Lepisosteus oculatus: one gene and its partners. The protein of the gene in region 1 purifies or fractionates together with the protein of each later gene. This does not show direct contact. Links are inferred from orthologs where the notes say so. Each region holds a gene or a part of one and is shown in the gene's direction. Other genes may lie near its edges.

Region 1 (7,432 bases):
AGATTTCGTTCCACTTCACAATTGTGTCCCACTTGTTGGTGATTCTTCACATAAAATAAAAAATGTATATCTTTATGTTTGAAGCCTGAAATGTGGCAAAAGGTTGAAAAGTTCAAGGGGGCCGAATACTTTCGCAAGGCACTGTAGGTGCTTGATCAACTATATTTTTACAATTCTTCAAAAATAGAGGAGTTACAATTGACTAAAAGGACTAATTAAAATCGAATTATGTAAAATCATAACTTTTTTCCTTTCAGCTGTAAAGATTTAATATAACACTTTTTTTGAAACACCAAACTGTACATTTGGAAAGGGAGAAGACAGTTAAGTCTAAAAACTTCTGCTAACAGCATCCAATGGCCTTTTTATTTATTTTTTCACTAAAGTACTAAAGAAACGCAGGGCAGGCCTGCTTTTTCTGTGGCCTGGTATTAGTTAATTGTACATTTATGGCTGTATTTCCAACCATGGATAAAAACCAACTAGTTTGCAACATTCCCAAACTACACACTGCACATCCAATCACAGGACCATATCCTACATAGCCCTTTTCAACAGAATATTTGTAAAATATGTCATGTTCTTTTCTGTCCCTAAATCCTGGGAAGTAAAACAGTTTACACCAAGGGAATTGAGGGGAAAAAAAAGCAAAGGACCAGACATTTATTCCATCCTTTTTGTGTGTAGAAAGTATATGTATATAATTTACAATTCACTACTCATCTTTAATCTAAAGTATGGTATAAGACTCTATTATGTTAAATTATGCAAAACATAGCCCATGTGAAATTAGTTGAAAGGCTCATTTTCTGCTGGCTCCTGCGGTGAGGTGATTGCCTAACAAATTACATTTCAGTTCAAATTTACAATTCATCCATGAGAGCAAGAGAAAGATATTCTGAGCATCACAACTAGACACATGAAGCTGAGGACTGTCCACATTTATTTCCTCCTGGAAATTTACACCCCTGTATATATCCATGACTCATGGAGTTACAGACATACTGTATGTTATCCATTTTTTTTTCCTTTTATTTATATCCTTATATTTATATCCTTTTATTTCTTTATTTTCATGATGTTTTTTATTCTGCTTAGATTGCTATTTGCTGTGCTAGCTACCCTTTCCAGAAAAAATAACTTCAGATAGAACTTTTCTGAAAACATAATGCAATGAAGTCCAGTCTTGTACTGAATTAATGGAGCAATTCTGAACTTAATTATGAGTATCATACTTTAAATAATTCTGTCATCTAGAAATTGAGCAAAAATATACAGTAATTAAGGCAAACACTTCTCATCTTAGATATGACTGTAGAAAACATGTCCTGTTTCAAAATGTCCTAAGATTGGTGGGCCTTCTGGAAAACCCTTGTCTTCAAGAACCCGTCCTTACTGGGATAGTCACTTAATGGCAAAAACAAACATGTAGATAGAAACCCCAGCAGGTTGCTCCCACAACAAGGCACAAAACAAGTCAGGATGAATATAGCAGGAAGGGGAAGTTGATTCAAACTGGTCCTTTAAAGAATTCAAGAAACACTATATGTTTCACATTGGCACAGAATACCCTCCAGCTATGCATTGCTGCACTCTAGAATAAACTCGTAAGTACAGAAAAAAATGTATATTTTATACTTGGTGCTCATTGTGTTAAGAAAAAAAAAGCAGCCAGAAAAAAACTTCACTATTTGTCTGTTAAAAATTAATAGGCTGCTTGCCTATGCATATGATAAAGAGATCAGCTGTCAATTGAGTTATTGTATTTTTACAGTTCTTGGTCCATGAGTTCTCATTTCTATGCAAAGGAGCCATTAGTCATAGCTGTGTTCCCGCACAGTGTCTGCTGTACAATCGGATTCTTACAGAGGATGAATCTTCCAGTCCAGCAGCCTGGCAATAAATAATCCTTTCTTCTGCTGACATAAATCAAGAGAAATCATACACCTCATTTTGTTGATTCTTCTATAAATCTGTCAATTGTTCATGGGAGCTATGATTGCATATTCATGAACACTGTTGAAAAGTTTAATCATTTATTATTATTAACAATAATTAATGTGCACAAAGATTTATTTATAATTACTTTGTTTTGGAATATAGTTTAAATGACAAATGCAAGCTGGATATGCCCACAACATGGATCATAATAATGAAAAGGCAATAAAGGGAATAGTCCTTAATATCTATACTGCACCTATGAATAAGAAAAGAAGTAAAAGAAAGGATATATTACTAAAATATTACTAAATGTACTAAAGCATAGATTTAGCAAGAGAACAATGCTTTAATACCAACCTGAACAATCTACATCAATGTTACCACTGCAACCACAGCCATGCTTACTACTATAATACTAGAGCCTGTACTATTACAAATGATGGTCATTGTAACAATAATGCAGCTCTGACCTGGAAATCCTTGTCACTTCTTGACTTTCTCGGTGGTGACACGAGCTACTTGTGCTAGGATAGAGGATCAGATGGGCATACTATTTAAATGGTATACAACAGTTACGGCTTTAATTGTTAATGATACATTGGAAAAACATCTGAAAGGCTATTGATAAGAAGTGTTGAGGTACGGTCACACAGCGGCAACCCCAAACAACTAGAAACTATATGGACGATGGTTTGATCTGCTAGGAAGTTGTTTGGATTGGTATTTTGTTCTCTGATTTTATCTGTCAATAGTACATGAGCCTGTTGACAGTAATAAGACAGTTTCAAAACAGCAAGCCTAGAATCTGCGCATGAAATAATTTTATCTTATGATGTAGCAGAAATCTAGTCAAGGTGTTTGAATTTAAGACCCCATACATACTGTAGTTGCACACTGAAGAGCTCATACTGGCCTTGTCTCAGTGCCTGTCTGATTTTAGTCAAACTTTAAAAGTGGACTACCTTTATTTTGTAGCTTTGCCTTAAGCTGTCCCACTGGTCCTATTTTACCACCACAAAATTCCAGGACTGACTTACTAAGGTTCACGTTTGCTAAAATATCATATCAAATGTAATAAATTGTATTTATTTTCAGTAGAAACACAACCATAAATAGCAAAGTTTCCATACATTACTGGAAACCTTTCTTTCCAGGACACCAGAGTTGCAGCCACAGTGTATTAGCTGTGCTTTTAACATTATCATTGGGTTCAAATTCAGACATCTACTAATTAAAGCAATATACAGTACGACTAATAATAATAATGCAATTAATTGAACACCATCTTATGTACTATTCACCTAACTTCATGTAATATCTTTACTAATAACTGAAATTATAATAGTGCTATCACTGTAATGTCAAACTGTATATTTGGAGTTCCATCTATTCTTGATCAAGGAGCACCTTATTCCTAAGGGCTGCTTGGAGTTATCCTGAAAACAGTGCACAACGCAGTACTACTCTCTAGACTGGACACCAGTCTCAGAGCACAGACACACATTCACAGGTGCAGCTACAGTTTAAAGACAGCAATTAACCTGGCCACCATGTCTTTGGCAGGTGGGAGGAAACTAGAACACCCAGGAAAAGCAGACATTAAAATTGAGAGAGCATGAAACGAATCCGGGATACAAACGACGTGAAGCAATATTTTATGTGTTTTTTTTTAAATAACAATGAATTAAAATTAATAATAAAGCAATTTTACAGTTCATAATAATACAGCTTTAACATCGCACTTAGTATACAGCACATCATAAAAGCATATTATGGCATACCATAGCAGAACCAGATCAAAAGAGCATTGCAGCATAGAACAAGAATCCATGGAGAATAAAAGTAGAAATTAAAATAAAGAATGGTTAAATGACCGGAAAACCTAATCCGTATACGATACTACGCAGACGTTCAGAATGGAATTTGCACATTAACTATTCACTTCTTGGGTAGTTATCAATACACGTATTTATTATGTAATCAGTACACATGATAGAATATACACATGTGCTGTGCTGTCATATATAACACCACTGGATAATTCCACGATTGTGTCCACTTCTATATATGACAAACTGGATATGGCCAAACCAGTGTTTAATGTTTCTTTTTTTAATTGTTCCATATTAAATCAAATATCGCTTGTATGTAAAACACGAGACATACTACAATAGCAGAATTATCGCATTTCAGCTTTAAAAAAAAATAATATTAGATTAAAATATGTATCCAGTTATTATACTAAATGCGTAACTAACCGACAAAACAAAAGATCGAAAAACTACACATCCCAGAGTAACGCACTCGCTTAGTGGGATTTGTAGTACGTAAAGGCTTATTGTAAATAAAACAGGAACTACCAGAATGCATCAAAGGCTTTTATAGCGCAACTGGGACTTGTAGTGTTTGAGATATGAGCATACACAATATTTAGGGTTGAAGAAACTTCAAACCCCACAATTCTGTTTCAGCCGTGCAGCCTGGGCCGCTGGGGGGTGAGTGCCGTGGAACGGATTTTCCTGTCTGCAGCAGCGGCAGTGGAGAGACGCAGGTCCCGGGGCTGAGAGAGAACCAGTCCCGGACAGACTGACGATGGAACCAGAGACGGTACTGCAAGAGAAGGCTCTGAAGTTTATGGTGAGGAGATGACAGGGCAAAGTCGGTTTCTGACACTCGACAGAACCCAAATGAGATGAAGGTTTGGGCTTGTCCATAGCGGTTTGTGCTGGAAATGAATGTACCGGTGGGTCAAGCCGCCATCTTGGACTATGATAAATAAACAGACAAAATAAACTTACGTTTATTTATTGAAAAAAATCCGTAAGCTAAATGAGATCTTTTCAGGGAAGAGAATATAATGAATATTATGTGTTGGTGTGTTGATCTTGATAGTTGTTTGCTTGAAGTAATCGATGTGTTTTTCTGCCCAGTGGATGTTTAGCTTTGGCCTGTGTTTACATTATGCTTGATTCGGTGCGCTTGAATTTATGTTACGTCAACTAATATTTGTATCAATTTTATTGAAGTGTACTTTAATTGAGGTGTAGACTATACTCTTATATTAGCTTTTTAGATGTTGGATATAGTGTCTTTCATATAGGCCATTTTTGTTAGGTTTTACTGGTGGATGTATTTCATATTTTTCCTTGACGTGTCCTGTGTTGTGTTTCAGCACAAGTGGTCACGTATAATTAAGTCTTAATGTTGTCTGTGTTGAATATAAACTACAGATACGCTCTTTTAATTGATGGTTTTGTCCTTCAGATATCTTGAACAGTGAGGTTTCATCTTGAAATAATTACAGGTTAGTGTGGATTATATTGAATTCTGACATAAAATGAGAATTCAATGTAATTCAGAATTGTAATCCACACCACACTTCAAAAGACTGCCAACACTTAAATACTTACCTTTGGTATTAAAGAGTAGTTCAATGCACAGATTTGGCTTTGCAAGTGGGCTTACCCCTTTAAAAAACAAATATTATTCATATTCATAGTCTAAATAAACATTATTTATATGTATAGTGTAAATATAAGATATTTGCATATGTGATATGGTTTAAGGTACATTAACTTGGCATGCACCACTAAAAATATTAATTCCCAGATTTTGTAGACTTTGTAAGAGGTTTCTTTTCATCTCAGTAGTGTTTGTATTTATATTGAGTTCTTCTGACTCAGACTGAGTATTTACAGTACTGAATTCTCACTTGTCAGGTTCAGTCCACAACTCATTACAGCTGTGTTTGTTTGCCCTATTGTTGGATGGTCCTCTCAGGCTTCCAGGCAACATTACTGGACACTTATTGTTATTGTTCTGCTTGTTTTATTCATCTACCAACATTTCCAAATGTGTAGAAAATCATTATTGTTTAACAAAAATGAATGAACTTTCAAAGGATTGTGATGGCCTATCAGAAATTGTTTTGGTGAAAGTGAGACTGAGAAGTCACAATGTCTGGCTGCCCAATGGCTTGCACAGTGTGAGATGTGCAATAAATGTTTGACATCTTTCAAACGGTTTGGCCTACTGGAATGAGATTTGGTATAACTACATAAGTCAGGCCAGGTTCCCTTCTCAAGGTTGTTCAGGTTGCTACATTCAAGAACATGGTCACTGTAAAATCAGCTGCTTGTGAAAAACGTTTCTTCAGAAACATTGGGTAAGTGCAAATCTGATAAACATTGTCAGGATGATTATAATTTGGTTAGAACAGCACTCCTGTCTTAGCCTTCTTGACTTTCTGAATATTATTTAGTTGTCTTGTCAAAACACAGACTGTTTCTGAGCAAACACTTGGGCATTTAATTCAGTAGACTCAGTAGATGTTACTGGCCCACGAATACAGTTAACATGCTGAAAGCAGGTTCTCATTTAAACCAAGATGGCTGCCTGACCGCCATTTTGTTTTCCAACATCAGCATACTGTTTTGTCAATAAAGAATTGTCATTTTTTTCCTGAAGCTTGGAAACCGTCTCTTTCTGGGGGAAATGCTGCACAGATTGAATTGAAACATGACATGGTTTATTACGCTGACATCTCCTTCAGTCTTGCACCTAGTGCATTGCAGCAGTAGTTCATCACCTGTTTGGTGAATTGGTGCCTTGTAGTGCTGTTTTTCTTCCAAGAATTTGCCAGTGAAAACCTGTTGTATATCATTGTAATGACGTTGCTGTTAAGAGTATAGCAAATTAGGATCCCTTCATACATCAGGATGCCAATTACTTTGTTGTTTTGTTGGTGTGTGTCCTGTACCACAGATTGTACTATTGGCCATTTAACTCCAATTCTGGTAGACATTTCTCAGATGGCAGTGTTTAATTTTTGGAATGTGGGATCCTTGTAGAAACCAAATTACTTGCCTAGCTTCCATTTTTTTCTGGATCTTTAAAATTGCCTGTCTTGGGGGAGCTCTGTGCTAATTGAAATTTAGCCTGTCTTATTTACATGTAAACCAGCTTCAGACTGCTTTGTTGAGGTTTTGGTTTATATGCCCACGCCAGGTATTCGTGTCCTTGGTGAATCATGTCCTGTAACAAAAACATCTTAGTATGTATCATTCTAGTGGCTGCATAATTATGATAATGCAGAATGCCATTTCTCTGCAAGCCATGGTTCGAAATTTCCTTTTGATATTTTTAAGTGGAGTATACTGCATACTGCTGCTGTCGAAAACTTGTATTTTATGACATGGGGGCTAGCTTGAAAGCCTGTCAAGCTGAATGTGGTTTTGTAATTGTATTTTCCTTGAGAACTCAGTCTATTGATGGTACAGTTAGTGTCTGATACAATATCATCTTTAAGGCATAAGCCAAAAATGAACCAGCACCTTATTGACAAAAACAATAATTTCACAGTACAGTGTACTTCTAATGTGCAGTGCTGCCTCTTGTATCCAGTCTGTACTTTTCAATTGCTGTCCGATTTCTGAGAAGTTGTAATTTATTATGCAGTACATAACAGAAATACACCACTTTAGTCGTGCTG
Region 2 (7,074 bases), on another chromosome or scaffold:
CGGACTACAAGGTAGTAATGGTACTATGATTTCCTTACAAAACAATTTTAGGCTGTGAAAAATGCAATAGATCATTCACTTTCGGTTTCAGAGTGATCTTACAAGATCATTATTGTAAGGACATGTAAACACTACTTCACAAACGACCCTGCGGTGTACCGTATCTGCTGGAATTAAATGGAAGTATTGTTTGATAAAGAAGACTTGCCATATTTTTTTGGCTCCCAAGTCAGACCTTGATTTAACTTTTGTTTTTGTTTTGAATACCTTGATGGGTATGGTATGACACGTTGATGGCATAAAGGTGCTGGCATTGTGCCTACTGTGCATGAACACAGAACACTGAGACAAACTGCTGTTCCTGGAGACTAAGCCAGAGGCTTCCTTCTCGTGGCTGGCGAGGCTGTATGTGAAGTGTCGATGGGAGCTGGACTCCAACCTGTGAAGATGGGACAGAACTTGGCGCGAGGCTGGGCTCAGTATCGCCAGCAGGGAAGGTGGCAGCTGTAGGGTTAAGGAGCACGTTGAGCAAGACTACTGGTGGGATTTGAGTTTCTCTATCATTGCGGCTGCCCATTTCTCCAAAACCCGAAGGAGATATTTCTGCAATGCTCAGACCGCCCTGCTAGGACCCCTTTCCCAACGCCACCTCAGTGGGTTGATCTGAACCGTTCTGCAGTTTCTTATTCGCATGATATACAGTTGGTCTGCAGTGGTTCATGTGGTCGTCTTGAAAGAAAATGAACGTACTGTACAGTGATGATCAGAAGATTGGACAGAGCTCAGCAGTCATTGGGAACATTGTTGGAGAGCTCTTCTGAAGTGTTTTAACTGTTGTAACTCTACTCAGAGTTTGTCCCTTGTGAACTAGAAATCACCTGAATCATTACCTTTCTACAGTGAGATGTGGTCCCAGCAGCCCCACTACACAACAGACCAGGTCTAACATCCCAGGCTTACCAGGACCAGCTTTTGTTAGTTTCTAGATCTCTTGAGAACAGCCCAGATAGTGGTAACACTGATATCAGAAGGTAGTATACAGTGCCTGCAGCCCACGTGCTGTTACTGGGTACTGGGTACTGTAACTATATGAAGAATCAGGCCTTTCTGTGAGAGCTTGTCATGTTAACCCAGAAATGTGGCACTCTTTTTAGGGAAAAAAGGAAACTAATAGACCTACTTTGCAAGTTCAATAGTTCTGCACTAAATTGATCAGATACATGCATTTCTCTTATACAGAAACAGAAAGTGAATAGAGAATGTTAACAGCAATGCAACTCCTGTGTAAGCACTTCTCGGAAATCATGAGGAGAGATCTGTAGCGATTTAACCTTGACATTTGTTGTATCTTAAGAACTTACTGAAAAGACCATGATTTCAGTGTGACTACAGGCCAAATTACTTCAGTCCCTCAAGAATTACAAATGATGCTTTATATTGTAACAGCTTTGTGTAGGTTTGAAGGGGGGCTGGGGATGGATATACAGCATATGAAGCCGAAAGCTGTTTCTCTTAGTTTTCTGAATTGTTTAGAAAATACAAACTGTACCAATTTGATTGAAAAGCAAAAATCAAATTCAGTCTAGTGTTTCTTGAAAGGAGGAGAACTGGAAAGAAAAATCTTTGAAATTCTCCCTTGGCAGATGTTGTGTGTTATCCAAATTAATAATGCAATCTTTCCTGAGTGCACTATAGCTTGCAGATTCATCAGAGGTCAAGTGTGAAATGGAATGTATTACACATTACAGTTTTTTGTGAGTGTCACGCTGATTTGCTGTGTGATGAATTTCCTGATAATCTAAACACCTGTAATATCATTTGGAAATGTTTGTAATGATTCTATTTGAAAAACTGGAACATTCCTCTCACCCTCTTTCTTTTTTTTGGAAAACTAGTATTTAATTAATCTGTTTCTGTTTATGACAGAAGAGCTTTACTTCAGTCTATACTGTAGTATCAAGTATTATCTAAGTGCTTACTCGGAAACTTTCGGTGTCAGAAACAGACTGGTGGTCGGGAGGTGTATTCCGTATCGGGCAGTGCAGTGAGTCGCAGAGGCTGAAAGGCCTAATAGGGTGCTGAAGTCCGTAAATCTGAGCGTTAGATATCAGCACTGTTTCCTCAGTGCACTACAGCTTGCAGACTGACATCATTAGCACTCAAGTGTAACACTGAATGTATGTAACAGTACAGAAGACTTTGGCAATGCTGTTCTCAATGCTGTGTCACGCAGTAAAAAGCAATGTGGATTATTCGGATTAACCTGAGTATTTGTTCACTTTTGCAGCTATACGTAACCTGTTAAATTTCTCCATAAGACACCCCTGAAGTAATACAGAATCATTGTAATGAAACACTTGATGCATAATTGACATGTAATTGTAGGAAGCCAGCCTGGAAACTACTTCCCCATGTATATCGAGAAAACACTTAACATGAAGAGTTCTGCTGTGATGTATGTGTAGATTTATTTTTAGTTGGTTAAAATGGGCAATAGTTTTGACATAGCGAGATGTTTTTATTATTAAGAGATAGTTTCCAATGGACAATAGTTGATGTATTCATAAAGAACAAGTATGATTAAACAGCAAATGAACAAATTAATTCCCAAAGGTCAATTAATTCTCAATTTGACTTAGCTACAGCCCCTCTTTTTTATCAGTGGCACCTTATTTTAAAATGCATTACACCCAGCCTTTTAAGTAAATGCCTGAAGAAACACAGTAATCTGTTTAAAAACCTTGTTCCAGATTTGGCTGTGGGTGTTCTTTATGTAGAAGCAGTCTGTCACATCTTCATTTTGTTAGACCAGAGGTCTTATATAAACCACCTTAACTTTCCACTCAAATTTGTGAAATCATTCAATTTTGTTTTAACTTGAGCAAGAGACCTTATTTAAAAGATTAGTGTACCTCAGCAGACAAAATGTAATTACACTACTTGACCTCTCCCTGTCTTTTCATGGTTTATCCTGCAAGAAGTTATTAAAAAGTTTTAGTTAATTCAAGGACAAATAGGAATGTTAAATATCTTATCAAGATCCACAAAATATCCAAATCATCAATTCATTTGAAGATTTCTTAAACCCCCAATCTTTTCTGTGAAGACATGTTTTAAATTTTCCTTTTTGAGAATTTGGGGTGTTTTTCTCTCTTCGCGATTGCAGTCCTGTATTACTGTGAAGTCCTTGCTCCCTCTTCTTTGTCCTACAGCAGGACAGGACAGAGGGATCTTGCAGTGCTTCCTGTGCCCTTTAATCCGTGTTCATCCCACAGCGCTAGAGGAGCTCCTAACTTCCAGAAGTGTTAGAGGCGGACGAGGTCATTGCTTCAACTTTGTAAAGTCCTACACAGAGCGAAATATACTTCAGAGCAGTGATGCACACTAACTCAGAACACACACCTTACAAAATCTAGATTTGCACGCAGTTTGCACACAGAACAATTGGGTTACAGAATGAAAAGAATAAAAACATTTTTGTTCTGTAAAAAAGTCCTTTACTTTGTCAAGTCTGTAAACCAATATAGTATTTGTAGTTTTCCTCATCTTTATATAATATTAGAATATTACAACATTATTTCAAATAAAATCATTTCTGCTTGGAAAAAAGTCTGTAATTTCTAAGTTAACAGTACATAAAAAATACACAATTTAGCAAAGGTGTCCACGATTCTCTTTGTGCCATCAATCTCAGCATATTTGAAGAGAAAGCATTAACAAAGTTACATAACCCTGGTCGTACTGCCAGGTAGCGTCAAAAGGACAATGAAAATTAACATTTCAACAAGCCTGATTATTTTTGTGTTTAGTCGGACTGGCAACTTTTCTTTATAGCTGTAGACACACACACCACCTCAACAGTGATGAGTTCAACTCAAACTAAAGGCTAGATGCTGCTCTTTTGAATAAAAAATCCATGAATTTCTTCCTTTATCTCCATTTTGCAAACATAGCCTGTTTGGTCACTGTAAGAGGCAGCTCCCAGCGCATTATTGAAGTACATTTATCCACACACAGATGGGTTTCAAACATGCACGCACAAAACCCGACACCTTTATGCAAAATGTTTTCGTGCAGCATCATCGACACAAATGTAAGTGGCAGCCGACGCGGAGGCTGCTGGACAGTGTGAGTGGAAAATCGGATCTTGTGGGAAGGGTTTGCTGGGCTTGACCCTCGCTGCCTCAGACAAGCGAGTGTGAAATCCACATGAAAGGTAAGCAGCTGATAACACTTTGGTACAAAGGGAATATTATTTCTTTTTCCCATTTTTTCCCCTTCACTTTTATCTTTGAACCCTCTCTTGTCTTGTTTCACCTTTTTTGTTGTTGTTGTTCTCCTTTGTCTCTTCGTCTTCAATAAGACACGTACCAGCCTCTTGATTCGAAACCAAACTCAACTTTATTCTTTATTTATGAACGCAGCAAGTGATACTAGCGGATGATAGGAAAAGCATTATGTTACCAAGTCTCTTTCTTTTTTTCCTCTGCCTTTCTCGGCGCAGGCTGGTCCATTGATCGAACTTGCTCAGCTTAGCTGTTATTTGAAAGCCAATTGATTTATTTATTGTCATTTATACTCTTAGTGTGGAGTACAATAAAATGCTGAAATAGCGCCTTATTTTGTATGTTTATCCAGCAATTATGAGCAAATCACTCATGCCTAAGGGGTCTGTTGCCATAGTTACAATAGGGTTCTAAGCACTATCATCTGGTCCTTGCGTCATCCAATCAGGTTGGAGAGCCAAAGCTGCAACATAAAGTAAAGATGCACATCTTTCAGCAACACAGTAGTAAGAAACAGAAACAGGTTCATGAGTATAAGTAAGTACTCAGGGTGGCAAGTAGGCGACTGCGCCCAGTCATGGCGGAACACGAAAATCAGACCCGACGAACTACTCAGCAGGAGAGGCAGGTGAGAGCATCGTCCCTACCGATTTAACTCCCTTCATTCTTCTTCGAAAAGTGCTCTGTGAATCAAAAACACAGGGACAGTAAACAAGATTAGTCTTTTAACGTTCAGCTTCCGAAAAAAAAAAGCGAGAAGATGAATGAAACAAGGGAAGGGGCAGGGGCGAGCGGGTCGGCCAGACTTTAAAATTATTGTTGTAGGCCTTTCAGATCAAATTTTGTTAAAAACAGCGCCGTCAAAGCACTCCAGCTGGGCTCTCGCATAGTTCCGATATATTTTTTCCAATTCTTATGTTGGGAGAATTAAGCGACCAAGTCAGTTTGGCTGAATGAGAGTGTGCGTCTGTGTGTGTACAAAAAAAAGCGGGCCTAGATTAATCATAGTATTCTAAATCTCATTACTCGGAACATCTGAGAAAAGATATTTTCAAAAGCCTCTATTAAGGAGCTGTAAATGGAGGCCTTTATGAGATCAAAGGCACTTGAACTGGGACGAATTTTTGTTTGCAATCCCTATGTTTAAGCAAGGCTTGAATGTAGGCAGCGGATCTGCCGGACGGCAGCGATGGCCAGCCTGAGCTCCATATCCCAGAGACCTCCTGCTGCGCGGCCCGTGAGCCTGTCGATACTGCAATGTGATGTCAGTCAGAAGAAAGAACCACCATAACAATCAGTGGGGAAGGAAAAAAGGACTCGCAAACGAACCCAGTTATGATTAAAGATGGCGGCCATACATACCGCAGTGTGCGTAACGCGCCACGGTCTGTAAAAAAGCAATCGGAAACCGTTTTTTATTCGGAAAACACCCGATAGAAAAATACAAACATTGGGTAACTCCATAGATCAGGCTAGGAGTCGGGATCATGCCCACAGCTTTCCCAGCTTGCATTCATCTTGAAATCAATTGTTGTGCTGTGGAGTGCTTTCCTATGGTAGGTGCGCTGTTGTTGTTTTCCTAGTTTTCGTGCCTCTTGCGGACTTGGCTGCAGTCAGCCAGCGGATTTAACTGGGCAGCACAACAATGGCTCGACTGCTATCAGCGCATCTGAAAACTAACACACCACAGATCATGATGAGCTTTCGTGCTTTTTTCCTTGTGTTCATTCATCATCAGGCTTTCCTTGTCCAAAGTGTACCGCCTTTGGAGGCACAGCTCTGGGTTAGAGTCAATACTGCCTTTCTCCAAATACACTAAATTAACAGAAGGACATCACCCGGTTTTGAAGATGTATGCATATTTTTCCAACGTAGTTCTGTAATAATAAGCAAAACAATATTAAATAAACTCTAGGAGGCAAATCTTTTAATCCACTGTGGCTAATCCACTCTCGGGTTTGCTAGTCATGAGATATTCAGCGATGACAAAAGACATCAGCAGGAGTCCAGAATACATTTTGTGACAGTCTTTTGGTACTTTTGCTCTTTTAAGACAGCACTAAAAAAGAGCAGCATATCAATACTCAAACCCACAAGTACTCCTTCTTCTTTTCATTCAAATAACTTCATTAGTCTTGATCAAAATCAAAAGATTTCAGACCAGCATAGTGTAGCCCAGATCCCCAACTGTGATGAAAAATCTTCTTTTTTCTGTTAAAAACAACAAAATAATCTGAGATGAATTAGTAGTAGGATCACATCATCTGCTTCACAATGTTACTTATAAACTAGCCTAGTCGTGTGAATTTATTTAAATTATTGTTATTATCACATACGAAAATTACTTCTTATGCTACCACATTGTGCAGTGTACCTGTAGATTTGTTTCAATAAAAGTGCATCTTGAAAATGACATTTTTGAATGTACAATAAACTTACATTCCTTTTAATGTCTAAATGGCCCTATTGTTGAATCACTGGCCTTTCTTAAGATAAGCCTATTTCAAGCAGACCATACACAGCAGTGTAAATCTAAATTGGCAGGTGTAACAATAGAGTGTGGACAGAGAACTCACTTACCTTTTGCTAGCTTTTCAGCTGGTGTTTGAGCTTTCAGGAGTTATTGTAACTCTTTTTTATACACCCCTTTAGATCAGTACTTGGTGTTTGGCGCAGTTACTGTCAGATGTTTTGAAATATGTATTTTGTCTTGTTGTCAGGTTGGGTATAGTTTTCCTTGAGTCACTTTATAAAGCATTTGAACATGTATTCTTTTTTTTCTGTTCAT
Region 3 (7,030 bases), on another chromosome or scaffold:
GCTTTGGAAGAGGAGGTTCCAGAGGAAGAGGCCGGGGAGGTGTGTTCCACTTTTACTCATTAAACTCTATCATTCTTTTTCTGCTGTCCCTAAATTCCAGGTGCTCATTTTACAATCCACACATCCATATTTAAAAAGGTTGCAGGTTTCACAATACTTAGCACAATGTCACAAGTGGAATACGAAGTACATGTACAAAATCAAGAGCCAAATGATTTGCTAAATCTTGGTTATTGCAGCATGAAGGTTAATCTGGATTGGAAACTTCACTGTCGGCAGTATTCAGTGAACATTTTAAAGTGCAACTACATTGTTTATCATGCTAAAAGCTTAAATACATCTTTTGCTTTTACAGAATTAGTGTAATCCCGTCTAATTGTTCTTAGAACGTGGCGTTCTGGAGTTCTGTTCCTTTCTGTATCATTACATCTGAATTGATTTCTCAAGAATTATCTGGCAGTTCTGTGCTTGACAAATTGCTCACTTTGAACATGTATTCATTTGTCCATCACAGGTCAAAGTCAAAACTATAACCAAGGCTATAATAGCTACTATGGTCAGAATTATGGAAGCTACGGCAATGGGTACAATCAAGGATACAATGACTACAGCGGCTATGATTATTCTGGGTACGGCTATAATAACTATGGATATGGACAGGGATATGACGACTACAATGGTAAGCAGAACTATTCATTACAAATCACCCGAGTGTTTAAGTTATAAAATTACTGTGTATTTTTATATCAAAAGCACATAACCGGCCTAGTATGTACAATAATGAAGATCAGTAATGTTGCCTTGGATTTTTATTTGCTTTGTTTACGCAGACAAATTTCTTAGGTCTATATGATAGCAGATGGTCACTATGAAGTTTTCAGTACAGCAAATCGATTTTTTGGGGGGAATTTGAAGTTTAAAATAACTTACTGTTACTTGGGCCCTTGTTGGCAAATTTACCATTTGAATCTTTTTAAAGCATAATCCCCATTAATAACTCCCAATAAATTGATTTGCTTCCGGATTTGTAATTTTTACCATTATTTGGTTATGGATTTGGATTGTTTCCTTGTCATTCATGCTTTAATCTTAAAATTAAGCTTATATTGAAAATTGTTAATTTTAATATGGGAATACATGTTACACAAGTGTTCAAATCATTCTGTGATTATTTTAAAGTATGTATGAAGAAATACTGGTGGAAGCAGTTAAAGTAGGTATATTCAGTGTGGAGACTTGTACAAAAAATTACTTTGTATAGACATTTATTCAGAGATCTTTTGTACCTTTTTATATGGTACTTGTCCATGCCACTACTTGAATTCCCCAAGGATAGGGTGCAAAAAGTGTACAATTTCTGTATGATGCACTAATGTTTATTGAAGTAAATGACAACTTTTATTTTTAATTAGGTCAGCAAAGCAGTTACGGGAAGGCTTCAAGAGGAGGCGGAAATCACCAGAATAACTACCAGCCATACTGAAAAGAAAAACTAAAGGAAAACCTGCTCAAGGAATTTAGGTAAATTGAATCCTAACCCCTTGGCTGACTTCTAATAATTTTAAAGATCAATAGACAACTCAAAAAAAAAAAAACCTCCTTCAAACTTTAAAATGGTAAATATTGCCATGAACATCATCCCGAATGTTTCATTTTTTTCTTTAACAACTGTCTATAGATCTTTAATATGCCATGCTTTCTCTGGCAGTTTTTTTTTAGTTCTCCAGAAAAACGTAAGGGTTTTTCTGTAGGTTTCCTCCCTTTTCTCCTTTGATTTTTGTAACAGGTGATCATGTGGAAGTAACATAAAGAGACTTATTAGCAATATTAACAGGTAAAGTACTGCTAAAGGGTACAAATTAAGGGCCTATCTTTACTTTCCTTCTTCCTAACTCTGATGTTGTACCTTGTTTGTACCTGCCAGCGGGAACTTCATTGCAGGCCGTGTGTCACCCTGACCACGTCATTCTCTGGGCGTCGCACATAGCGGGCAGAGAGCACGGCATGCACAAGAAAACGCTGTCCTGTGGTATGGTCTCTTCCAACTTCCTGTACCAGCGTAAAGATAAAAAAATAAATAAAAAAATGGAAACTTCAGACTTTGCCTTTTTATTTGACAACGGCTTAACTTTTGTGTAAATGGTTTTTTGCAGGATTTGTGTTTAATCTTAAATGACTTAACTGTTTAATTGTATTCTGTTTTTATTTTAGTGTCGTTCTTGTATTTCAGTTCTGGACCTTCAGTGATTTTTGTTTTCTAAAATAAACTTTAAATTGCTTAAACTTTTAATGCTTGCTTTTTCTTTATAGCCAGTAGAGAAACCTTCAAATGATAAAATAACGACTTTTTTTAAAAATGTAGGTGTTCGGGATCATATGTAAAGAAGCTTACTGAAGCCAGCAAAAGCCATTCTGTAGAGGTCAACTGTGTGCACTATTAACCTCAATTTGTAACTGCCTGAAAGAGGGTTCAAAAGTAGTGGGGGGCGGGGGGGGTGGTTATGAATTGCTCTTCAGTGGTAAGTGCATCTGCTTTAGAAATGGAGCTACACCTAAGCTTTTGCTGGCTGTATCACTTCTGCCAAGCTGAGTGTGATACATATGATCCTTAACACGAGAGAACTTCATAGCTTAAAGTTGGCAGCACAAGAGGTTAATCAGTGAAACCTGGCCGTGTTCTAATTTTCGGTTTTAAAGTGCATGGACACATGGAATTAATGTGCGCTGTCTCTTCTCTTTCAGGTGAGGAGCCCAGATGAGTTTTCTGCTTGTTACCCTGGTGGCAACTGAGAGATTCTAGTCCTTTTAAATCAAGAACAACTGTTTTTATTTTAAGATGACCTTGTTTTCTAAATTAGAGGCAAAGTTGGCACCAGCAGGTGTCTGTTTGTAAATAGAAGCTTTCAAGTTTTGTTGCTGGAGTTGGCTCATTCATTCCTTGCCATGTTGGTGTTGTAATGAAATATATTTTTGTTTGTTTTGTAAAGCGGTCTTTACATTTTTATGCTTTTTTATTTTGTGTTTTTTGCAGCCATGAAGGGAATTAAAGAGTATGGATACAAAAATGATCCTGGTGTGATTATTTTGGGAACTAAATGCACTGTTCAGTAGCCATTCAAATACTTAATCTCAAAACAGTGTTTCACTTAATGTTTTGAGCTTTTATTGATTTTTGTGATAAGTATTCGTTTACACCAAGTTTTTGATTGTGGAATTATTTATAAATGCAAATGATTTTTTAAAACATCTTTGAAATTCCTCTGAATATATTGCCGTCAAGTTGAGACGTTTTCAATTTTTCAGTTGGCTTTTAATGTAATTTACTCAACGTAAATTGTAAACTTTAATTCTCTCTGATGTTTTTGAACTTGATACTTCTCATTTAGAACATTTTAAATAGTAGATGGCTCACCGATGGTTTATATCGGGGCAAAAGGCCAGTATAGGGACTTACTGTACACTAAATAAAACTTTAAGTACAGCAATCTGAAACAAACGGTTGCGGGTTTTACGAAGACTGCGGCCTATATAAAGGTAAACATGCTAAGGTCCGGTTTGTTCCCTTGGCTCATAATAACGGCCCGCGGAATCAGGAGGCAGGTTTCATTGAAATTGAATTAGGTCAAATAGCTGTATCCAGGACATACAGCTCTACCTTTTGAGAAGCGGGGCACATTCAATGCTACGCGGTCTAAAAATGGTCGGTTTGTTTCGGCTTCACTCTATTAATCTGGATAATCAAGTACTTTTCCGGAAAAATCTCACTTTAGCTTGAAAAGTCGAGCTTTTCGTTTTAATTTCTCATCATAAGAAGACACATATTCTATTAATCGGGAGCGCTAGTTGAGTGTTATGAGTTTATTTAATGTGACCTGCATTTCAAGCGGTAGAAAAACTTGAGACCCGAGCGACTGTGATGAACGGCGCAGTACAGCGCTTCCCCTGAAGAGGGCTGCCTGCGATTGTGTCATACTTGTCCGATTGGCCCCATGCCGAACGTCGACGAGTGCTTCCTTCCTGCGACCATTTTGTAAGCGGCGCCATTAAGATTCAAAGAGCACTGCGTGTATTGAAATAACTGTTAAAAACAGTAGAAAAACAACTGGCCCTTGTTGCCAGCGTAAGACCTCTTTCACTTGATTAGTGCGTCTTCCAAACAGCACGCGTTTGCATTTCATTCTGGAGTAAAAGGCAAACCGGTTGAGAAAATATACCAAGGGTAGTTATTTCTTGTGCAATAAAAAAATGTCGGAGGAGCACCAAGTCGGAGAGGACCCGGTGGTGAAGATGGAGGAAGACGGGGAGGCGGGCGGAGAGGAGCAGCAGATGGCGACCGGAGAGAGCGGGGCTTCAGAGTCCGAGGGATCGAAGATCGACGCCAGCAAAAACGAGGAGGATGAAGGGTGAGAGACGGACGGAGACCCGACACGGACTCTGTAGTCTCCAGGGCGAACAAGGGGCTGCGGGCAGTACTGTCACTGACGATGCTACCACAGAGACAGGTCATCGACAAATGGGTCCCGTAACGTGTGCTGCATTAATCTGTGTTGTGCAGCGTAATCCGTAATGTACAACAGCAATCTCGAGTGACGCTGAAACCTTTGTTTTTAAATATAAAATGTCTCGCTGTAGCTGGCGATGTCTGGTACTCCAGTTGGAGTAAACTGCGGAAAATTAGTTTTTCTTTTTGCAACAGTACTCCAAAACGTGAAGCTGTACCGCATAATTTATCGCAGTCCATTATAATCACGACATTATAACAGAGTGGGATCAACTGGTGCCATATAGTTTATAGACCATTATTAAATCTAAGGGCGTTTAAACGGTATTAAAACGCACTTGAGAACACTGGCAGTGAAGTGTTATGACTGATACACACTTCTACCTGGTGTGGAAAGTATTTCTGGAAGTTGCTATACAGTTCATGGCTTTTTAAGTATCGTACAGAGTGGGTATAGTAACGTCAGCAACCTGAATAACCGCGCGGTGGTTCAACTGGGTCACACCCAAGTGTCAGCTATCTGAAGCGAAACCGGTTTGTCCTCATGAGACTCAACCGGTTTCGTGAGTGATGCTTGCTGAGGATTTGCACCCTATATAGAGTCACGGTATAGGTATACTTAGAATGTTTTTCTTGTGTTTTTCAGTTGACTAAAACGTTTACGGTGCAGACGCAGTGATTACTTAACTCGGATAAAAGTGTTACTACCTCACCCCAATTTCATTTTCAGTTGTAAATTGTAGATTTACTTTGATTACCTGCTACATTGATACATATCGCACTGTCTAGATAGGTATTTAAGTGCTCAGGAATGCAAATCAGTATTCTAGGTAGTTTCACGGTGTGTAAACTGTTAAGATATCTGGTTTTAAGCACAACATTTAGGAAGTGTTATCAAGGCGAGTGGCATGCTGTGCCATAGGTCCTGGGTTCAGTTCTGGGCAGGGGTGTTATATGGGAGGAGTTTTCACATTATTGCTGTTGCTCAGGTAAATTTTGACATGTGGTCCAGTTTCCTTCCAGTTAAGAAAGACATACTGACTATACGAGTTGTAGTATTTACATTTAGAGTGTCTTTGCGCCCTGCAGTGGTCTGGAATCCCATTCAGAGCGTCGTCACCCTCCATGTTCTAACCCCTCTATCTGACTCGGGGTCGCAGGGGAGCCGGAGTCTATCCTGGCAAGTAGCACGGGTGCAAGGCAGGGTACGCCCTGGATGGGACGCCAGTCTATCACAAGTCTATCACACTGCGCACACTCACACCAGGGCCAATTTTCCAGAAGCCAGTTAACCCACCAGTATGCCTTTGGACTGTGGGAGGAAACCGGAGCAGAACATACAAGCTCCACGCAGATAGTACTCTGGGAATTGAACCCAGGGACCGAGCACTGCTAGGCTGCAATGTTTACTACTGCACCACTTTGCTGTTCGAAGACAAAATTCACTTAGGCAAACAATTGTATTATAAGTTCAGGTGGGTAGCTGCGTCAGCATGCGTAGGCTGCAAAGGAACAAGTAATAGGTTTATTCCATGCTGAAAAAAAGAAGAAAGAGAACACAACGTTTCGGCCGTGGAGCCTTCTTCAGGTGAACACCTGAAGAAGGCTCCACGGCCGAAACGTTGTGTTCTCTTTCTTCTTTTTTTCAGCATGGAATAAACCTATTACTTGTTCCAATTGTATTATAATGTGTGTCTGCATCAGCATAAGAGCATGATGTGATGCTTATACCATGTTAACACATTGTCTGGTATGGCACCCAAGACACTGTTAAACAATACATCCATATATGGTATGTGCACATGTGGTTGCATGTAAACCTGTTCCTATGTTTTTCATCCTTAAAAAGATTGTTTTTAATGTACTTTTAATTCTTTAACAGAAAAATGTTTGTTGGAGGGTTGAGCTGGGATACAACGAAGAAGGACCTGAAAGATTATTTTTCCAAGTTTGGAGAAGTAGTAGACTGCACACTAAAACTGGATCCCATGACTGGACGGTCCAGAGGATTCGGCTTTGTATTATTTAAAGATGCTGACAGCGTTGATAAGGTATTTCTGTTTCTGAGGTTAGCATGCTGCCAATTTGCTAGAATTGCCTTCATAGTAAATGCACAGGCTCTCTCAAACATTTCTGCATTGTGAAGGTACTAGCTTATAGTGGTTACAGCTACTACTTACTTACAATTTTACTACCAGTTACTCACAAAGAACTGCTGTTCTAAAAGCACTTTCCATTTCGAAGATGTGTAGAGATTTTCCAACACGGTTATATAAAAGTACAGATTATTTTTTAATGGGCATATAATGCTGATTTCAGTCCTGTGCAAATGTTTTTTTTTTCTTGAGGATATCTTTCTTTAAGCATATTATACTGTGTATAATTTACCGATACGCTAAATGAAAGAAATGTCTTTTTGGTCCATGATCCTACATTTTACATTCCTGATTTGATCAGCAAATAATTTGTATGCCTAGGAAAACCATAGCTATTTTTATGGTTTGAAAAAAAAATAGAACTAATCAAGAA
Region 4 (6,836 bases), on another chromosome or scaffold:
ATAGCCAAACACACACTCCTCCAGTAGTCCACAGGGTATAAGCCCCCCTTCAGCATCACCCTTCTATTGATCTGTCTACTTTAAGCAAACATTCATATGAGCCACTCTGATCCATTAATGAGTGCAGTCTCCAGGGAGGTGCTTGCCATGCTGTTAAACTTTGAGTGCGCTTCTTATATGCTTTCTACATATTGGCGCAAGCTAACACAGACATAAACACTCGCTCTCTTTCTCATAGGAGATGGTACTCCCAGAAATCAGTCGCTTCCCTTTCGTTCTGAAAGCCTACCAATTTCAGAGATTAAATGGCATTAGCAAGGCTGCAGTATCCATCTTCATTTCAGATAATAATGCGCTGAGAGAATGTCTGTGGATGAGCTAAACCAGTAAACCCGAATGGCAGCCAATGCAGGACACTCTGGAATATCTGCTGGTTGTATTGATCATTAACAATTTAGCACGCGATAAAATAAATTGCATCCCCTCCATCTGTAGCACATAAATCACATTATTACTGTCAGTAGCACAGAACAAATCATTTTAGCAGGAAGGCTACTTGAATTGACTGTTTTCATGGAGTGCTGTCTTTCATTTTTCTGCATGACCTGCTGTCTCAGCACTACAGGACTGATATCAGAACCATTGCCATTCCATTCATGCTGCCTCTATAAATAGCTCTGTCTAAATAACATTGTTCTGACTAGAATGAGCACAACTAAAGGAAATAATTATCAGGGATTTAAGGATTTTTTGACATGATTCATGCATCGTAGTATGCTTCCAGTACCTGCTTTATTGTTAACTTGACCTTTGAGTAAGTTAGTTTACAACATAAAATTATCTGTCTACTGTATGTAGATAACCTGGATAGATAGATCTCTCCATCTTAATTAGTAATTCAATTTTATGAGTGCTTTTCACCAAACTCAAGCCACTCAAATCTGTAGTTATAAATCTGATACATGTTGTGCAATTAATGTATTTATTGAGCTGGATGTGTGGTGAGGTGTTCATTTTTGTAAAAGGTAATTAAGGCATTACATAACTGTTCAAAAACTGAATAATGGATATTTAAAAAATATATCTATTCATTCAACAATATCAAACACGAGGCTTGAGAATTACTTTCAGAATTCCTGACAGTTACCCAGGCATATGACAGAAATACAACAGGCTGCATACCTCAAATGGAAACCCTGAAAAGATACATCGTCCCCTACACAATTCCAGGGTGTAATTAGTTCAAAATATGTATCCCTGCACCCAATTGCCAAGATCAGAAATACTCCATAGCTATTGGAAAGTTCAACCGGGGCCTAAACCATTTTGATTTGCTTACATGATTTGCCACATCATGTAGTTCAGCTTGCTGAATAGCCTTTTAAATGTGCTGGACATTGATGATTCTTGCAGTGGTGAAGTGTGAAGGGTGACCTGTACAATTCCCTGGGGCACCAGGTAGATGACACCCATGTGTGACTCTTTTGCTGCTATGATTTCACCCTGACATGCACCAGCAATGCACACGCAGACACAGAAGAACAGCTGTGAGATACAATCCAGTTGTGAGGAAGAGTGAGAAGGCACTGCTCCCCGTTGTTCCAGTCCACCCAGCTGTACAAATGGGAACATTATATGCATTACTGTGCAGAGTGATAGACCAGTGTCCCGTCCCATCAAGTGCTCCCAGTTTGCTTAACACTACAGAATCCAGGATAAGCTCTGGCCCAATGCCTTGCTCTGGTATTGATATATATATATACTTTTACATTATATTATAATTTTTATAACATACAGTCAACATTTACATTACACAATAAACATTTTATCACAGGAGTTTTATTCTAAACGGCACTGTAGAGCTGTCTGACTGGAGTGGTGTAATTTCTAAACACGTCTGATTCTCAAACCAATTTCTACCTTAAAACACTTTGTCTTTCCTGTAATAAACACAGCTATGCCAGGAAGCAGCCTTGTGTTTTGTTGAACCAGAAAGTATTATCTGCTGCTTTTTCTGCCCTCCTCCACCTAACATGAGACAAGTCACATGACAAAGTATAAAAGAAACCATAGCAAATCGAAGCCATGGAAATATAGTCATGAATACAGCCAGGACACTAAAAGTACACGGTGCACTGGCAATCCTCTGTGAGCAACAGTGTGAATGATTTCTGCTGTTGGCTTCACCAAACAAAGCTCAGCACCCCAGCTTCAAAAGAGGTGCTCTGCTGCCTAGAAACAGCCCCCATCAGCAATTAAACTGCTTCTTAAACTGCACTGCAAAGTCCACAGTCACTTTTAACAAGCCAGTGAAATCAATCAGGCTGAAGATGAATAAATAAGCAAAATAGGTGGAAAGACAGCAGGGAGTGAACTAATACAGTCCAGACTGGAACGAGACATGGACTATCTCTGTAGGTCCCCAGATATAAGAGCAGGAAAAGATTTCAGAAAATAATTTTTCATGGGTTATTAAAATGGTTATAAAATCAGAGAATAATCGTGTTAGTTATCAATGAACCTGACAGTGCACCACTTGTAGGCTGAGCAGATACAGTTTCAGGAGTAGCTATCTGTCTGAAGGGGAAGAAAAGCTGAACATTTTAGGACTCATAGCTAACAGAACAGGATTCTCTGATGTTTGAGAGATTTGGCTTAGTTTATAATACCAAGAAAGGCCTGAGGGATTTGGGTTTTTGAATGAATAATTATTTATATATTTATTTTGCTAACAACATTAACCAAGGCAACCCATGATTAATTACAGTTATTTCATAACACAGTATAAACGCAAACATAACAGTAGAAAATGCCCCATTGTGTCACTGAGTAACTCCAGGACAAAGGTTGTAGCTGTTATGCGAACAACTGTCTCCAGAAAAAGAACCAAATACATTTTACATATGGTTAAGGGAATGTACTAAAACACTTTATTTTTTTGTTCACAGCCTTATTCCAACAGCAGTGTTAGCAAATTCTCTTCTGATCTTGAGCGATCTCAGGATCAAGGAAAAGCTAGTCAGTTCTGGGATGAGAGACTTCCAAGGAAAACCAGAATGCTCCTGTAAGGGTTGTTTTGTGGAGCAGTAGGTAGTCGTTCGCACTGCACTGTGTGGAAGAGTAGGGGTATGAGCTCTGATGCCCTGGATAACTGAATACTCTGGTCCTGCACCACCTAGCCTCCTTATCACTTAATTCAATTTGAGAAGCATTTTTTTCACTTCTCTGGCTGATCTACAGTATAGTTAGTGGAGCTTTTAGACATAATTTTCAGAGGTTGACGAAAACAGTCCCTTCCTTGATGCAAAGGGAATAGTGATTCTTTAGGATGTAAAGCGCCATATAAACTCAAGTAATTATCATACTCGTTATTTTGGCATGGCGAAATTGATCTTAAATAAACTCGAGTACGTTACACATCAGGCTCTTCTTTGAGATGCGCTGTATAAGTGAACTGCTCGACATTGTATCAGATTAACTACTTCTGTCATCCGCTTCGCAGACCGCACGGCTCAAAGACCCGCCGGCAGGACTTCCCCGCCAAAATGACGCACACAAATTCTAAATCCCACCTTTCGATTGGCCTCTATTCTGCCACGCGCCGCCGTTCCCTTGCCGGGTTCACTCCCTCCGCGGGAAGCGGAGCGTGTTCTGCTACATCGCTCCATCCTTCCCGGCGCCGCAAGCATTTGCAGCGTGCGAGTTCAGTGCAGACTAAAAAGAGAACACAAGGTGAAGGACGGCATCTCAAGTGAAAAGTTACTGAATGAAAACGGGTTCTCTGCGCTGCCTTACCTAGCTGGGGTTCTTAGTGTGGGACAGGATTTGAAACTGACGCCATTCCGTTTCTACACTGCCGGCCGTTTCTCCCTTGAAGGCCAGATGCTCGGTGAGCCCAAATGGCGTACGGAAGGGGTCGCAGTTGCTTGCGCTTTTCTAAAAATGTTGCTGCGCTGCGGCAGTTGCCAGGGGACGTCGGAGGGGAGGGGGCGTGATTGGCTGAAGTAGCCTTGTTGCCGTGGCGACGGCAGGGGGTTTGGTAGCGTTGCCGTGCGGTGTGATTTCTGCGCTGCGTGGATGGAGGAAGCAGCTGCTGATCTCTGACACAGTGAGAGAGACAGGCATCTATATGCACATACTGTATACAGATTCACTGCCATATTGCTAAACAGGCACAGCGTGCATGCATGTAAGTACAAACGTGAATTCATTTTTTATGCTTAACAATGCCTTTGGGTAGTTCTCCCTCTTTATCCTGTGCACTGAAGAGAAAATGGGTTATATGAATTAATAACGTGACGCGATGAATATTTATTTCCCCTCCATATATCTTTTAAGGACGTATGGTAGGATTTGGAGGGACACTTGACTCCCCACTTCTGTGGTCCAGTTTTTTTTTTAAAAAGAAAAATGTGTGTGTTGTGTGTAAGTTATTTCGTTCTCCGAGTTGGGCTTCGATTTGGTTTAACTTCGGTCCCGGTCAGAGCAAGTTAATGTGGTGTATTGGAAGAAATAAAGTTGACGGATTTGACATGTTTACGCAACATTGTTGGGGAGATAGTTGAAACGCCTCTGTCTTAGCGTTCTTTTGTTAGTATACAGTATTATTGTGAACCAGTAATACAAAACACAAAGGATCGTTTATATGTAATCCCCTTCCTTACCCAAGAATGGACTGTGTAGATAGATTGTATATCCACAAAACAGAAGGCAGGGTCATTGAATGCGTTTCGTCTTAGCGAGCCCTTATCGTGTTCCTGTAACGAGTCATGCCATTCCGAGAAGTCCTGGCAGGGTCGGGCTTCGCATTGTATTTATTTGGGAGACTTTCTTGAGGACTAGCCGAGCTGAATGCACTTCATATTTGGAAAATGCTCGCAGTGCTCACCAGCACATTCTCAAACGGTACGGGAATCAGGAAACACTCGCCTCGGCTCGAATGTAGGGCAGCTGTGCCGCGTGGGCAAACCAGCCGTTCGCGTGCTCACGTCTGCGGCGCGGCCGTTCCGGAACGCACAGCTTTAACTTTTATTTCACGTTGAAATCCAATAAAGATAACGTGGGTATAAGGAGGGAGCCGTGCGCATTGTTTCCGGTGAATCGGGGGCTAGATTGTATCGCTGAGTGACAGAGACACGTGGTCAGGGGGAGCCGGGCCGAGCTAGAAAAGGTTTCGGGAAGGGCTGTACCGACAACTTCTCTCCGTCGCGCTCGTCACATGAGGTGTGTTTCTGGTTTGACGGTGCTCTTGTTTGTCGCCCATGCACCCTGCTTCGAAAAAAAAAAATTGCAGGGCGCCGTGCCAGACACAGAGCGAGAGCTCCTGCCGTGCGGACCCGAGGAATCCCACACGATTCTATACTTAGCACTGGCCGACATCTCGGCGTAGTGTTTTTAATTTAGGCATTTTTCTCGAATAAACACAACGCGGAGTAGTCTAGACGGGTAGACGCTGTCTTCCCCCCCCACCTCCCAAACAATGGATTTTCGATTTGTGTGCGAAGATCAGCGAGCCCCGGTGAGGGTCTGAGAGGCAGCGGCAGCCGGGATCGAAGTCTGCTTTCCCCCGTTGGCATTGCGTTTTTGTTGAACTTGTATGGAAATAGCCATAAACTAAAAGACGATAATAACTCGGAAAGTGTACTGGGCGTCCCTTAGTTGCTCGTTTACAAGAATTGATGGTGCACCCAGTCCTGCTACAGTAAGGATTCCAGGGGCTTTTTTTCGACATTTTCCCGATTCCGTCACTTAATGTACCTTTCAGTATGTCCCCATGTGTCACACTGACTCGGAGTGGGGATCTGACCACATTCCAACAGATTTGTCCACCACAGCCTCTGTCCTGTAACAAGATGATATCATCCCGTTAGTTTGTCTGTCTGTTCAGGAAAGTACGTGAACAATCACTATCATGCATCAACGGGCTGTTTATTGCGGTGAAGTTTAATCGGCTTACTTTCGGTTTATTTTTCTTGTCTTTTGCAAAAGTGTTGTGAAGGTTTTAGCCGACAGGCCCGGTGATCCCACAAAAGCAGTGCAAAGGTTGATCTTTAGCTCTGGAAGTGGGTAATCTCTGAACACATGATGTAGTAGGTAACAGCAAAAGCATGTCCCAGATCTGCAGTGCATTCCAATCAAAGTGTTTCTCTCTGAGCTGTGTGGTAGATGGCCTGTGCACATTGGCAGAGTTTCATTGCCACGCATGGCTGTTACCAGTGGTTTTAGTGTCTTTTCGAAGAATTGCATCAATATGGGATTCTCCTGTCTCTTTACTGTCATGTTTGTAGCGATTGCGTAAAGACAGTTACTGGAATACCTTTGAACTGGACTGTAAGACTGGTTTGCTCTTTATTCTGTTGAAGTTTCTGTGCATCAGGTGTGCTCAGTCACCCAGTTGGTCTAGCAGATGCTGTTTGCTGGCACCTACGTAGATAAATAAAAACAAAGAAGCCAGAAAATATAACAACCTGTCTTTTAATTACATGGAATCCGGTCTCTGAGAATGCTATATAGACTAGAATGGCTTTTCGTTTCAACCATCAGTGGAGTTGGTTACTGTCTGGTGTGTGTGCCCTTGTTTAACAGTCAATTATTTTATTTAAGGTGTGTACCAGTGAAAGTTAAAATGTTAGCCGTTGCAGAGATAGGAACAAAATGTGTGCCTTATCCTAGTTTGTCCCAATACTAAAAATAAAACATGCCATGTAAGTTATGCTCTTTTTGCTGATGCTGGCCCGAATGAATTCAGCTGTATTGCATTTAGCAAAGTAAGTTTTTGGCACTGTAAGCAGATTCATTCATTGTCATATGGCACAAAAACAAATTAAAATTAAGTG

What was found.
Region 2: the proteins of F-box/WD repeat-containing protein 1A (region 1) and axin1 purify together in Homo sapiens (affinity purification with western blotting; 7 studies listed by BioGRID and IntAct, with this or other methods). This does not show direct contact. The link is inferred for Lepisosteus oculatus from reciprocal best matches to the Homo sapiens genes BTRC and AXIN1.
Region 3: the proteins of F-box/WD repeat-containing protein 1A (region 1) and hnrnpd purify together in Homo sapiens (affinity purification with mass spectrometry; 3 studies listed by BioGRID, with this or other methods). This does not show direct contact. The link is inferred for Lepisosteus oculatus from reciprocal best matches to the Homo sapiens genes BTRC and HNRNPD.
Region 4: the proteins of F-box/WD repeat-containing protein 1A (region 1) and forkhead box protein N2 purify together in Homo sapiens (affinity purification with mass spectrometry; 3 studies listed by BioGRID and IntAct, counting the BioPlex papers as one, with this or other methods). This does not show direct contact. The link is inferred for Lepisosteus oculatus from reciprocal best matches to the Homo sapiens genes BTRC and FOXN2.

What each region holds. Positions count from the first base shown.
Region 1 is NC_090699.1:35,670,519-35,677,950, forward strand, and holds the start of F-box/WD repeat-containing protein 1A, read left to right. Parts: upstream 1-4,425; 5' UTR 4,426-4,533; coding exon 4,534-4,578; intron 4,579-5,205; exon of another isoform or gene 5,206-5,245; intron 5,246-7,432. UniProt on the Homo sapiens protein: Substrate recognition component of a SCF (SKP1-CUL1-F-box protein) E3 ubiquitin-protein ligase complex which mediates the ubiquitination and subsequent proteasomal degradation of target proteins. Recognizes and binds to phosphorylated target proteins.
Region 2 is NC_090714.1:607,814-614,887, forward strand, and holds the start of axin1 (axin-1), read left to right. Parts: upstream 1-4,069; 5' UTR 4,070-4,216; intron 4,217-4,741; exon of another isoform or gene 4,742-4,914; intron 4,915-7,074. UniProt on the Homo sapiens protein: Component of the beta-catenin destruction complex required for regulating CTNNB1 levels through phosphorylation and ubiquitination, and modulating Wnt-signaling.
Region 3 is NC_090698.1:27,393,701-27,400,730, reverse strand, and holds the start of hnrnpd (heterogeneous nuclear ribonucleoprotein D0), read left to right. Parts: upstream 1-4,008; 5' UTR 4,009-4,245; coding exon 4,246-4,403; intron 4,404-6,383; coding exon 6,384-6,552; intron 6,553-7,030. Other genes in the region: hnrnpdl (heterogeneous nuclear ribonucleoprotein D-like), read left to right, coding at 1-39, 515-679, 1,413-1,483. UniProt on the Homo sapiens protein: Binds with high affinity to RNA molecules that contain AU-rich elements (AREs) found within the 3'-UTR of many proto-oncogenes and cytokine mRNAs.
Region 4 is NC_090712.1:12,852,618-12,859,453, reverse strand, and holds the start of forkhead box protein N2, read left to right. Parts: upstream 1-3,812; 5' UTR 3,813-3,882; coding exon 3,883-3,889; intron 3,890-4,080; exon of another isoform or gene 4,081-4,189; intron 4,190-5,157; exon of another isoform or gene 5,158-5,223; intron 5,224-6,836. UniProt on the Homo sapiens protein: Binds to the purine-rich region in HTLV-I LTR.